Linked DNA regions of Arabidopsis thaliana. The protein of the gene in region 1 interacts with the protein of each later gene in a pairwise test. Each region holds a gene or a part of one and is shown on either strand. Other genes may lie near its edges.

Region 1 (6,687 bases):
TTATGCTCGTGTTACTTGTGTAACTCGTTACTATCACTATTTATTGTGTGGTCTCTGTTAACCACAAATAGATACTTTAAAACATTTTAAAGCAAAAAGTCGCATCTCCTAAATCAATCAATCACACAAAATTGAATCCTAAAAATGGTAGCTTCTCTTTCCTTTCATTCCATCGCCACCGTTAATCCAATCTTCTCCGGCGATGGTGGTCGTTCAATCTTCCGGACTAATCGCCGATTCGAAGCAACTGGAGTGAGTTGCCGAGGACAGAATCCTACTGACGAGCCACAGACAAGTAAAGGACCCGAGCCGGATAATGTTCTACTCAAAATCGCTTGGTACGGATCTGAGCTACTCGGAATAGCTGCTTCTGTTTTCCGATCTCCGGAGACTTCTCCGATTGTGACAGGCTTTGAGGTTCCTGTTGATTGTTCTGGTCGAGCCGTTCGTGTAGCTGTCGTGGACTCGATTAAACAAGACTTTAAACGATCCTACTTCGTCACAGGTCAGTGTAAAATCATCCAATCTGAATTCTGTTTCTTTTGTCTAAATCGAAATCTCTGAGTTTTCAGGTAATTTGACGCCGGAGGTTTATGAGGAGAAGTGTGAATTCGCTGATCCGGCTGGATCCTTCAAGGGTCTTGCTCGTTTCAAAAGGAATTGCACTAATTTCGGAAGCCTTATCGAGAAATCCAATATGAAGCTCATGAAATGGGAGAATTTTGAGGTACGGTCAACTACTAAAAGATGTCGGAGTAAAAGTTTCGTTTTTTGTTTCTCACCAGAGCTCCATCATGAGTTTTGCAGGATAAAGGAATTGGACATTGGAAATTTAGCTGTGTCATGTCGTTTCCATGGAAACCCATTCTTTCAGGTATTTATTTTATCAAGGAAACCTTAAAAGTTTTCAGATTTTTGTAGCCTTTTTAGGATAAAGTTTGCAACTTTAATAGCTTCAATGATTAGTAATGAAGACAAAAAGAACAAAACTTTTACTATGTCTTTTTATGGAAATCTGTTTTTACAGCAACTGGTTACACGGAGTATTATTTCGACACAGAATCCGGGAAAATTTGCAGGTAAAAAGATTACTTATGAGCTCATTAATATAAACCCCACTAATCTCTTTTCAACTTTGAAATCTTTTGTGAAGAAGAAGAAGCTGGTTAAACATATTTTGATGAATGTTGGCTTGCAGGCACGTGGAGCATTGGAATGTCCCTAAGATTGCTCTGTTCAAACAACTTCTGAGACCCAGCCGTGGTTTAGTGGGGACACAAAACTAGCGCAGATGAAGAATGATGTCAATTTCAAATTAGATTTTTTTAACCGTAAATATATGAAACTTGCTTCTGAAACTAATATGGGATACTCTGCTCTTAGAGATCTGTAATGAATCTATTCAAGATGACACATATAAACATACTATCACTGTCGCATTAAAACAAAGGTCCATTCTTCTCGGTTGGACAAGCAACAGAGAAACCATGCTTGAACCTCTTCAACCTTGCACCGTCTCAAGTTTTAACCGTACTCTATGAATTTGCATTCTCTTGAAAAAAATGATAATTCTCTAGTGTCTTAAGTACAATTGACAATATATCTCAAGCTTTTGGATACAATTGTCACTTTGAAGGCTCCATGTTCTCAGCTGCTAAAGCTGCTGCAGAAGCAGCCTTGTCAAAACCAAGCTTCTGCAACTCGGTTAAGAACCCATCGAGCTCACTTGCTGTGATCTTGTAAGGACTGTGAGAAGGACCTGGAAACACTTTTTTAGAGACTTCTTCTTTGTATTCCATTAGGGCTTTGTTAATCACTTCTCCGACATTAGCGTACTGCTTGCAAAACTTTGGAGTAACCTGTGAAATATAAGAGCATGAAACAAGAAGCATGTTGATAACGAACGAACGAACAAGAGAATGCGTTTCGAAAACAATAATTGTGTCAGGATTTTACCTTGGCATGATGTGGATGTTGCATCATACCAAGAAGATCATGGTAAACTAGCACCTGCATTTCCAAGAAAACAATTAACAGGTATGAGAAATGCAAATTTGTCTCTTGGCTACACACAAAACCGGAAAGAACGAAACTTTTCAAATAAAACCTGTCCACTGCAGAAAGGTCCAGCCCCAATGCCAATGGTTGGTATCTTGAGGGCAGAAGTTGCAGCAGCAGCTACAGGAGGTGGAACGCATTCCAAAACAACCGAAAAACATCCAGCTTCTTGTAAAGCCATTGCAGTCTCAACAACTTTAACAGCACTAGCTATGTTTCTGCCTTGGGGTCTGAAACCACCAAGAACGCTAATCGCCTGAGGGGTTAGACCCACATGACCAATAACCGCAATTCCTGCTTCAACTATAGCTTTTGCAGCAGTGATCCTAGAAGCTGATCCTCCTTCGAGCTTAATCGCATCCATTCCTCCTTCCTTCAAAACCCTAACCGCAGTATCAACCGCCTGAAGCCAACATTTAAACCCAAAATCAGGTCCCTAATTTGTTTCATTGACACAAAATCTTGTAAAGAATCTACTTTGCATAAGCAAGTACTAAAGCTAAATCTGTGATTACACAGGCAATGACACATTGACACATAATGTATCATTTAAGACTTTTTTTATCAAGAATCCAATCACCTAAACATTTGATCAGGAAATGAATTGAACATTGTAAGTCCCACTGAGTGTTGTGATTAATTCAGGTATTGAAATTGCAATCAAGAATCTAATTACCTACACAAAAATTAAGCAGAAGAACATGCCTTATCAACAAATATGTTTAATTTAGGTATCTAGAAGAAAAAAAGATTCAATTTTATAACATTACCTGACTAGAGCTTGACTCGTAGGTACCAAATGGCAAGTCACCAACTAGGAGAGGTCGTTTAGCGCCTCGAGCAACGGCACGACAATGAACAAGCATCTCGTCTAAGGAGATAGGAAGTGTTGTGTCGTGACCATGAACAACCATGGAAGCTGAGTCACCGACAAGACAAACATCGATACCAGCTGTGTCTAAATGAACGGCGGATGGGTAATCGTAGGCAGTTACGACGGTGATCGGTTCTCCTCTCCGGTGTTTTTGTCTGAGATGCGTTAGCGTCACTCTTTGGTTTGGGTTTTGTGGCTTTGGTCCTCCGTAGACGGTGTTTTCCGGTAGGTTACTCATGAAACGGACAGAGATGGCTTTTGAGAAGCGAGAGCAATTCCTAGTGAGTGAGGACGCCATTGTTGTGAAGATGAAGAAACCCTCTTATCTGTGACTGTGTCTGTGTTTACAAGAACAAGGAATTTTACTTTTAAGAAGATTCAATTCCTAGTGAGTGAGGACGCTGTTTAGATTCTGGCAAGTGGCGATTCAGTTCTGGGTTTCACACACAAATCAAGCATAGCAATGACACTGTTAGGAATTGTGATAGCTTAACTATAAATTCAATATTTTAACGAAATCAACAAGATCCGTTGTAGTCTAGCTGGTCAGGATACTCGGCTCTCACCCGAGAGACCCGGGTTCGAGTCCCGGCAACGGAGATAGTTTTAAAATATCTTTACTATATTAAACCGGATTTTGGTTCAGTCTGGTTATGTTAACCCAGTCTCTGTTTCTCTCTAGGCTCTAGCCTAACCCAGTCTCTGTTTCGATCTTATTGAACTTCTGTTCCAAAGGCGATTCCTTTTTTATTTTTCCGTTTCTGGGTTTAGATAGAGAAATGTAGAGATTGAGATCGCGGTTACTAGTTGGAACTCTCTTGGAGTTGGAGAGCATCCGAGGGTTCTGCACGAGCTCCTTTAAGATCGTAGCTTCGGTTCTTTTTTATGAGATTGCGCATTGTGATACCAAAACCGGATTCTACTGTTTACAGTTTCCAGGAGTTCAAGTAAAGACCAAACCATGTCTCTGTTTTTTAAGTCACACACGTGTGAGATGACGTGAAGGAATTTTTTGTTGTTGTTGGTCTGAAGTAGTTGAATGTAGTTGGCTTCTAAACCTTTTTATATATCTCTTCAATATAAATCACACGAAGAATTCTAACACACAATTCGTTGATTCATCATATCTCCTCTTCATTAATGAATGGCCTCGTCGACTCTTCTCGAGATAAGAAGATGAAAAATCCGCGATTTTCGTTTCGCACAAAGAGTGATGCAGATATTCTCGATGATGGTTATCGATGGAGAAAGTACGGTCAGAAATCCGTCAAGAACAGCTTGTATCCCAGGTAAACTTTTTAACATAAATAATCTGAAATTGTTTTTAAAAAGATTGTTTTTTTGTGTGTTTCTTCTCACTTATGATCATCAAAAGGAGCTATTATAGATGCACACAACACATGTGTAACGTGAAGAAGCAAGTTCAGAGGCTGTCGAAGGAGACGAGCATTGTGGAGACAACTTATGAAGGAATCCATAACCATCCTTGTGAGGAGCTCATGCAAACCCTAACTCCTCTTCTTCATCAATTGCAGTTCCTCTCTAAGTTCACCTAATTATGTTTGTATATATATTAACGTTCTAAGAGCATCTCCAATGGAAGTATCTCAATGAGATACCTAACAAAAGAAAAAAAATTAAAAAAAAAATATGAGAGAAGGGAGAAAAAGTAGGAGAGAAGGAGAGTTAAATTTCTCGGATGATTGGACAGGTGTAATCACACTATTAGTTCAACTATTAAATAATAATTAATGTATCTGTTTTGATTAAAATATTAATTAATATGTTTTTGAGAAACTTTCTTTATTTTTACTGGTGGAGATGGTCTAATGTTCCATGGTTCATATAACGGAGCAAATTAAAGCATTGTAATCATATATGTTTGCATGTTCATAGTTGCAATCTCGTTTTGATTATAAATCAGTTTTAAGCATATAACCAAAATAAAAAAACAAATCAATTGTAATATTCCGGTAAAACGATTACCACGTGATGATTATAGAGAGGCATAGAGCAATATCGTCTGGTAAACTGAATAAAACCGGATTTGGTTTCCATAGATTTTTCTCAAGCCAAATCAGTTTCCTTTCGTTTGAATAAACCTATTGGCTTATCGTGAGTGATTATTGTTTTGTTTATTTACACGATGAACAATGTCAATGAGACATGTCACATGTACGAAGTCAGTTCCGATATATTACATGAATTGCTTTCAAGTTTTGATCAGCATCCTTAAATAGTCACCGAAAATAAGAAGCGAACAAGTCTTGGCGAAGTTGAAGCCACAAAGTGTACTAATAAATATGGATTGCCGAATTAAAAGAAGAAACAAAAAAACTACATTTTCATATTTTTTTTCTTCTTCCATATATAAATCCACTTTTCAACTTAAGCAAATGCAATCAATGGGAAGGTAAGTATGTATACCTCTAAATCTCAAATAATCTTTAAAATTATAAAATATATATGTTTTGACTAATTTTAGGAAGATAAAATAATCTCTTATATTTTCATCTTCTTGGGATTATTTACCAAAAATTAATGTTTAGAAAGTAGTACTACTCAACATGTAGTTGTTAAATATCTTTAAAGTTTAAGTTTTGATAATGTTAAAATCTATTAAAAATAATTGGTCATAATAGTAAAACAACTAATAATTAATTTTTTAGGATATTGCTTAAAAGTTAAAACATATTGCTAATTTAAAAGTCATAATATACAAAATATAATTGTAGTATATTCTATAATAAACATGTTTCATCTTTTTTTCGGACGAGCAAAGAAGTAAGAACGCACGTTATGACCATGATGCTCTAAAAAAAGGATCTTATTCCTTTTCTAATGATGGAAAAATTATTATATTATTCCTTTTCCAACAACCAAAGAAAAATCAAAAATGTCACGCTCCGGCAATTAAGGTATTTATCATCCTTAAAAGAGGTACCAAAATATATAGAACCGACAGCGCCATAAACTTTAGAAAAGAGAGAGAGAGACAAAGAGAGATCTGATCCTTTGAAGAAACAACACCAAAAAAAAAAAAAAAAGAATGGCATCAGCGGATGAAAAGGTGGTGGAAGAGAAGGCTTCGGTGATTTCAAGCTTGTTGGACAAAGCCAAAGGTTTCTTTGCGGAGAAGCTGGCGAATATTCCGACGCCGGAAGCAACCGTGGACGACGTTGATTTCAAAGGCGTGACACGTGATGGAGTAGATTATCACGCCAAGGTCTCCGTCAAGAATCCTTACTCTCAATCCATCCCTATCTGCCAGATCTCTTACATCCTCAAGAGTGCCACAAGGTCATCTTCTCTTTTTTTTCTTCTTGTACCGTCTGATCTACTCTAACACCGTATTGTGCACTTTTTATTACACACATATCATGATAGTATCCGTATTCCGGATCTAGCCTAAGATAAATAGAATTTGTGACACATATTTTGATCATCTAAATTTTGAGAATATGAAAAATATATATGTGATATTTTTCGTTAAGTGTATCCGATCTTTGTACTAATGAATAGAAATGTGTATCAATTAGGTATATCCGATCTAATGTTTGACTATTTTTAATTGATAACAGTATTTAATATATATGTGTATGGATTTCGTTGGTAATTTGTCTGGTCTCATCACCGAAATGGCTAGATCTCATTTTCTCACTAATTGTATTTTTATCGCATTGTGCCGCATTATATATACATACATATACTAATTTCATTATCCATGTGCATTGATGATATCTAGCATCTTATAT
Region 2 (7,928 bases), on another chromosome or scaffold:
GGAACACAAGCTTCGGTTGGGGTTACAATGCTTACAAAATTCCTAACAGATGTTATAGATGATTATGGGGTATGAACTCTTGAAAAATATAAGGTCCAACAGTTCACTATTTTCAAATATGCACGTTTATGATCACAATTATCTATGCATCACGAGTTACTTTCCGAAGTGTGGTGAATTTAATTATCTAAATGCAAGACTTCCTCCATGCGAAGACAAATGTCATTTCTCTTGATAGTCCGGATAACTGCTTTCACCTTTCTTATTAACGCATACAACATTAAGTGGTTGTTCTTGGAACTTCTTGAATCCACTCATCTCCATATGCATTTAGCCTCATTTCTAGATGATATATTTATATATCTGACTCACGTTTATTTAACCAGTTATATTTTTGTTCACTCAACAGGAATACAGGAATTCCTCTTGTGGAATTGGCCCACTTGCATTCGTTGCTTCTGTCCAGTCTCTAGAGCAAATTCCACAGACATTGAGCTCATCAGGTACAAACGTGTTATATACCACTACTTCTACCTGTTTTAACAATATTAGTTCTACCAGAATCAGTTCATGTGATTATTCATTTGACATTTTCAGGAAGGTTTGACTTCCATGTGCAACTGGCTGCTCCTGCTACCTCGGAACGTGGGGCCATACTGAAGCATGAGATACAGAAACGCCTTTTAGACTGTTCAGAAGACATTTTACTTAACTTAGCTGCTAAATGTGAAGGATATGATGCATATGACCTGGTATTTAAATTTTTCTATATGCTTTTAAATTTGCCGTTGTGCTAAGACCAGAAAAGACATTTGACAGAAATGTTGACAGACTTTGGAAGCTGATACTATCTGTGATTTTCATGTTATAAATTTTATTGTTCAAGCTTGCTATTTCGTTTTAACTTGATTATCATTCTGTCCGCAGATCTACAGTGTGCTCTCTTTGAATTCTCTTTTTTTTTTTTTTTTTTTCCAGGAAATATTGGTTGATAGAGCTGTTCATGCTGCCATTGGCCGGCATCTACCTTTAGAATCAAATATATCCAAATATAATTTGGTCAAAGAAGACTTTACTCGAGCTATGCATGATTTTGTGCCTGTTGCCATGCGTGACATCACAAAATCTGCCTCTGAAGGTGGTCGTTTGGGGTGGGAAGATGTGGGAGGTGTGACTGATATTAAAAATGCTATCAAAGAGGTATATGACTATGCTTACTGCCATATCTGATTTTGTTGCCCTCATTAAAATCTAAATTAGTGTGGGGTAGGAAATCTTGCCAATAAATGTTATCCTTTTATAATTGCAACCAGGAAGCATCTGTTTCCTGCCTCTTTGTCTGTTGGCTTTTACTTACTGAAGTTAGGTCGTGTTCAGTGGGAAACAATATTTCTGTAAGACCTGAGTTGATATAAGTTGAAATATCTTGGAATGAATCTCACGGAAATAATTCCACTGGGCTATATAAGAGCTACTAGTTATGCTAACAACTACAGTTTGAACCAGTTCTTATTTAGAGATATAATTCTAGATATGCAACTTTATTGCTCTTTGCCATGTCCAGATGATTGAGCTGCCATCAAAATTTCCAAAAATCTTTGCAAAATCTCCTCTGCGTTTGAGATCGAATGTTCTCTTGTATGGCCCACCCGGTTGTGGGAAGACTCACATTGTTGGTGCAGCTGCTGCAGCGTGTTCCCTACGGTTTATATCGGTGAAGGGGCCTGAGCTGTTAAACAAATACATTGGTGCATCTGAACAAGCGGTAAGAATGACAACCTTTCTTTGTTTTCCATCTTCAAGAACCTTTGAGATGGTTATCAACCTATTCAGTTCTTTAGTGACGCATGCTATTATCTATACTGTTGAATTTATTTTGATTTTTCTGGGTTTCTTGCCTAGTCTTTACCTTGTATTAAACAATAGAATGATAAAGAAACCTCTGAAAATGTTTCTAGAGAAAAGTTTTCAGACAGCTTTGTTCCTTTTTAATTGTTATTCCTGCTAGTCTCTTTACATAAAAATCTGAAAATGTTATCCTAATGGTTCCGCATATACAATAATGGAAAACACACTTCTCTCAGGTCCGTGATATATTTTCGAAAGCAGCAGCTGCAGCTCCATGCATACTCTTTTTCGATGAATTCGATTCAATTGCTCCCAAAAGAGGACATGATAATACTGGTGTAACTGATCGAGTTGTTAATCAAGTAAGTTACTTCAAAGTCTGAGCAAATTCTATCCAAGTCAAAGTTCAAACATCTCATGTCATATTTTTCTTTTGCGTAGTTTTTGACAGAACTGGATGGAGTTGAAGTTCTAACAGGGGTCTTTGTATTTGCTGCAACCAGGTATTCACACCCGAATAAGTCTATCTTGCATATCATATTTTGTGTTCGATGTATCATATAATCAACTGCAAACGGTGGATTCTTCTGAGTTGATAGTTAATAATAAATCTTAAATATGATAATCTTGAAGCCTGTGCTCAGTCCTCAATTTATGTTTTTCATTACATACAAAAGAGGGATAATGACTTTATAATGGATACATGACTCAATTAACAGTAGACCAGATTTACTTGATCCTGCCCTCCTAAGGCCTGGCCGGCTTGATCGTCTTCTTTTGTGCGACTTTCCTTCCCCACCAGAACGATTAGAGATTCTTACAGTTCTTTCTAGAAAGGTTAGTACTCTCAGTTACATCATTTCTGCTAATCATTTTTGTCCTCAAGTCTCATGTAAAGTATGTATGCTACATATCTGAACGACCATTAACTAGAATCTTCTATGGCTAAGCGATTTCCATTGGATTCTGACATTCAATTGATGGTCTCCCTAGACAATATGTAGATAAGATTTATCTATATATATTACAAGTAGTTAAGATGACAAAAAATCTTTCTGCATTTTTACAGCTTCTGATGGCTGATGATATTGACCTAGAGCCTATAGCTTTGATGACTGAAGGCTTCAGTGGAGCTGATCTTCAAGCTCTTCTCTCAGATGCGCAACTTGCAGCTGTACACGAGTATCTGAACAGAGAAGATAAACCCGAGACCGGAACTACACCAATAATAACTGATCCTCTTCTGAAGTCGATTGCTTCTAAAACTAAACCATCGGTTTCCGAAACCGAGAAACAAAAGCTCTATGACATATATAGCCAGTTTCTGGATTCAAGAAAATCGGTATCTCTCTCATCTCCACTCTAATTCCTCTTCCCTTTTATACAAACCCAGTTGTTGATTACTAACAACATCAAAATCTTATTTTGCTTGTAGTCAAGAGAAGCAAAGGGCAAAAGAGCAACCTTAGCATAATCAAAGGTATTACAAAGACACAAAAAGGAATGGTTACATTGTAGAAATCACATCATGTTGTAAAATTTGCTTTATGATAGATATGCCCAGTTGTTAGCATTAGAGTAAAAGTGGTTGAAGTTTGGAATAAAGATAGTTAGATACTAGAGAGACACATGGTAAGTTCTACAAGATTCAAACGACTATAGACATCTCTACAGTAATAAGATTAATACATTTCTTTTGGCAATTTTAGAATTTTAAAAGCTGTAATATTTTTGGTCAAAACAAGATAAAAATGGTATTCAAGTTCCGTAATTTTGTGTATGAAATGAAATAAAAACGCATAGAAAAGAGTCAACTATTATCGTGCAACAAAATTTATCAGTCCAAAGCAAAAAAGGAAAAGAAACGACAACGTATTCGTAACTCACAGGTAAAGGTTGTTGCCTCCTATCTTTGACAATGCCAGTGAATAATGTTGTTAATTGTTATGGCCATAACTTGAAATGAGTCAACAAAATTATCCACAGAGGACGAATAGAGTCAGTTAAGAAACTGTCATGAGTACAGTTAATAATATCTCATCACATTCAACAGAGACAGCCAAAAAAAAAAAAACGATTGGTTTATAAATTGGGCGGGGGAGAGAGGTTGCTGTGACGTCTCTCTCTACCCATCTCCTTAACCGAAACGGCATGCATTTCTTCCTTCTTTAACTTCCTTTCTCCATTCCTTCACGACAACAATGAAATAAACTCATCACAAATTATGTCATTTTGATGTTTGACCAAACAAACTTAGTTCTATAAACAAAATAATTTATTATCTTTTTTGTGTGACAAAAACCCAAACCCAAAAACGGTTAAGAACAAAGGGATAAAAGAGTCCTTTTCCTCTTTCCTCTCCATATTCTTCTCCTGATTTTCCTCTTTTCATTTTCTTCTCTTTTCTGGTAATATGAACAAGTTCTGAGCTGTGACCATTAGACCAACAACAGTCTTTATATCTTCTTTTAGTTCTTTCTCTCTCTTTTTATTTCCTTCTTCTGTTTTAAGTTCTATTTCTTCAGAAAAAAATCCGGCATTCTCATTCGATTTTACCTCCACTTGTTGCCTCGGCTTGCTCTTCAGGTATGCCTTTTGACCTTTTTATCATTCTCTCTGACTCCTGTAGGGTTATCAAATCGTAAATTGAATGCTACATAGAAACTTTTATTAACAGTTCTCTCATCATATGAACTAGTAACCACCATAAAGATGATGATTATGACGATGAAGATAGATTTAGGACATGAAAAGCCCTCTTCATTGTCATTCCTACAATTAGTAAGAGCACCAAACTTTGATATAGATATTTGAGTATACAACAAGTCAAAGCAAATTTAGGAGAAGCCAATTTTTTATTATTTTTCCCCACATAAGAATCTAGTGCTCTTGTAAAAGTGGTGAGGTTTGAGTACACGACTACCTCATCTTTTGTATCTGTAGCTATTTATGTTTTGAGTTGCTTGTTTTTGAAAAATTATGACGAAGGAAATCTTTAACAAATACCTAATTTTGGATTACAAGAAGACTTCTGAGTATTTCTAACCTTCCATCAATCTAATCTCTGAACTCACATGAAGTTGACATTCCTCGGTTCTCTTGATAGGACCTTTCATGTTTGAATATTTTTTCATCTTCTCATCAACTGCATAAACGGTAGTTTTGTTGCAGGTCAGAGACCAAAATAGGTGTAAATCAAAGGTTGTTTTGTCAGAGAAACACTTACATATGAATAGCAAAGGGAGTCAAAACGTTGCAACAACCTGCAAGCCTGTCACTACATTTGTCCAAACTGACACCAACACTTTCAGAGAAATTGTGCAGCGCTTGACAGGTCCAACAGAGAACAACGCTGCAGCAGCAACACCAGAAGCAACAGTGATAAAAACCGCCATACAAAAGAGGCCAACTTCAAAGCTCCATGAGAGAAGGCAATGTATGAGGCCAAAGCTTGAAATTGTCAAACCTCCTCTGAGCTTTAAGCCCACTGGTACGACACCATCATCTAAATCTGGTAATACCAACCTTTTAACAAGTCCAGTGGGCACCCCTTCTTCATTGTTCTCTAACTTGTCCTTGATAGAAGGGGAACCAGATAGTTGTACAACAAACATCGAAGAAGAGGAGAAAGCCATTAAAGAAAGACGCTTTTACTTGCATCCATCGCCAAGGTCTAAACCGGGGTATACAGAACCAGAATTGCTTACTTTGTTTCCTTTAACATCTCCCAATTCGAGTGGCAAACCATAAACCCGACAGATTAATCATAAGTTTGTTCTCTGCCTACTATCCCAAAGATTATGTACATGTAGAGTTTCACAACAATATCATTGGAAGAGGAAGATTGTTCTCTTACATTGTTCACTCAAGATTTGTCTGTGTCATATGTGCAATTGCTTTGTGTAGACCATCATGATCTAGCTTCGCAGCGTTTTAACAATTTTCATCGATTAAAACACCACAGGCTCTTTCATCTGAAGATATAAAGCATTTACTAAGTCAAAAATACTGTCTCTACGAGGGTGAGAACAATCTCCAGACACAAAGACATTCCTTTGCCCATCCACTTCTAGCCAGCTACATCCCGCTGGCTTTTTCATTTCCTTTTTCTTCATTAGGTTTCTCAACTCCATCACGCCTTCCCATTTAGCATCTGCAGCATACATATTCGATATTAGAACGTGGTTTCCGGTGTCGTCAGATTCAGCTTGCAAGAGATGATTTGCAACTGAGTGCCCCAGATCCATCCTATTATAGGTTGTACACGCCCTTAACAGTGTTCCCCATATATTTGCATTAGGTTCAACTGGCATCTGTGTGACAAAAGAATATGCATCATCAAGTCGACCCCCTCGAGCAATTAGATCTACAGCACAAGCATATTGTTCCATTGTAGGTTTCATACCGTGAACTGTCCTTATTGAGTCATATATTTGCAATCCATCCTGTATTAACCCTGCATGACAGCATGCAGTCAACATAGTAGTTATGAAAACATGATCGGGCTTTATGTTTGATTCAGTCATATGAGAGTAGATCATAAGTGCTTCCTTGCCCCTACCATGTACAGCATACCCAGCTACCATAGCAGTGAACATAACCAGATCTCTACGAGCATCTGACTGGAAGACAGAATATGCATGCTTCAAGCTGCCACATTTAGCATATACATCTAGTAGAGTCCCCTTCAGGCGGATATCACCAAGTCCGCCTCTAATAATATATCCATGACATTGTCTTACTAGATGCAGAGAGGCTAGCTGCGCACAAACAGGAAGGAGATTCATGATAGTCACAGTGTTAGGCCTCATTCCTCGAGCTTGAATCTCACGGAAAACACCAATGGCTTCATTAGGGCAACAACTTTCAGCATAGATACGAACCATCAAACTCCAAGTGGTGAGATCAGTAGTAGACATCTCAGTGAAGAGCATCTGAGCATCATCATGACTTCCACTATTAACATATCCTGATAACAATGAGTTATAGGAAACCAAAGTTCTCCTCTCTGATAAACCCAGAAAAATCTTATGAGCGTATTCAACATTACCACATTTGGCATATGCATCAAGCAATGCATTGCCAAGCTTGGGTTCCTCTTCATCGTGTAAAAGACCAGCCTTAACTGAGTACCCATGAACTTCTTTTACTTTACCAATTCCCTGTACATTTATGCAAAACTTTAGTAGGCTTAAAATAGTAACAGAGTCAAGAGTGATTGCTTCATTAAGTAAGTGGTGCAAGAGATTCAAAAATTGAAACTGCTTTGGACTGTCTGCAAAGGCATCAAGTATAGCATTCCAAGATATTATATCCTTCGTGGACATCAGTGAAAAGGCCCAATATGCTGCACTTGTGTCACCAAATCTTGCATAGAAACTAATGAGAGCATTCCCAACTGATGTATCCTCCAAAAGGTAAGAATGGCGCAATATATAACTGTGGATCTCTTTCCCAGAGGCCAAGTCAGTTAATTGCGCACAGACAGGAAGGATACTGATAATAGTTACCGAATCAGGAGAAACATCCCCCTTATGCACCAAGTTGTGAAATAACTGAAATGCTTTAAACCACTCACAATTTGATGCATAACCAGCTATGACAACATTCCATGAAACTAGATCTTTAGAACCCATCCTGGTAAACAATGAGGCTGCTTCTTCTATCCTTCCGACTCTCAAATAGAAACTAACAAGTGAATTACATACAAAAACATGGGTTTGCAGCCAAGACCTCTGCACAACATAACTGTGAATCTGTCTACCACTTCGACATGCAATGTTCTTGTCCATAGAAGCGCAAACAGGCAAAACATTTGCAATTGTTGCATAATTTGGCTCTGTAGGTTCCTTCAGCATTAGACAAAACGATCTAAATGCATCAGCCATCATATTATTCTCAGAAAACCCAGCAATAATCGCATTCCAAGAGACAACATCTTTATCAGCTATACCATCAAATGCAGTATAAGCATCGGGAAAAATAAAACCAAATTTGGCATACATGGAAACCAAAGCATTCCCCACAAGTGTATCTTTCTCCAAACCGGCTTTAATAATATAAGAATGCATACTCTTCCC

What was found. Proteins that work in one complex are often made in the same cells at the same time.
Region 2: the proteins of WRKY43 (region 1) and AT5G08480 interact in binary tests that used the Arabidopsis thaliana proteins (3 or more experiments, as listed by UniProt).

Annotation. Positions count from the first base shown.
Region 1 is NC_003071.7:18,953,182-18,959,868, forward strand, and holds WRKY43 (WRKY DNA-binding protein 43), read left to right. Parts: upstream 1-4,030; 5' UTR 4,031-4,072; coding exon 4,073-4,221; intron 4,222-4,307; coding exon 4,308-4,488; 3' UTR 4,489-4,744; downstream 4,745-6,687. Other genes in the region: AT2G46100 (Nuclear transport factor 2 (NTF2) family protein), read left to right, coding at 145-505, 573-727, 808-874, 1,028-1,079, 1,199-1,286; KPHMT1 (ketopantoate hydroxymethyltransferase 1), read right to left, coding at 1,626-1,859, 1,957-2,010, 2,108-2,461, 2,829-3,230; AT2G46140 (Late embryogenesis abundant protein), read left to right, coding at 5,982-6,232. UniProt on the Arabidopsis thaliana protein: Transcription factor. Interacts specifically with the W box (5'-(T)TGAC[CT]-3'), a frequently occurring elicitor-responsive cis-acting element.
Region 2 is NC_003076.8:2,739,410-2,747,337, forward strand, and holds AT5G08480 (VQ motif-containing protein), read left to right. Parts: upstream 1-3,909; 5' UTR 3,910-4,434; exon of another isoform or gene 4,435-5,008; 5' UTR 5,009-5,076; coding exon 5,077-5,598; 3' UTR 5,599-5,702; downstream 5,703-7,928. Other genes in the region: PEX1 (peroxisome 1), read left to right, coding at 1-69, 410-503, 598-752, 979-1,200, 1,565-1,765, 2,085-2,210, 2,290-2,351, 2,568-2,685 and 2 more; SLG1 (Tetratricopeptide repeat (TPR)-like superfamily protein), read right to left, coding at 5,799-7,928. UniProt on the Arabidopsis thaliana protein: May modulate WRKY transcription factor activities.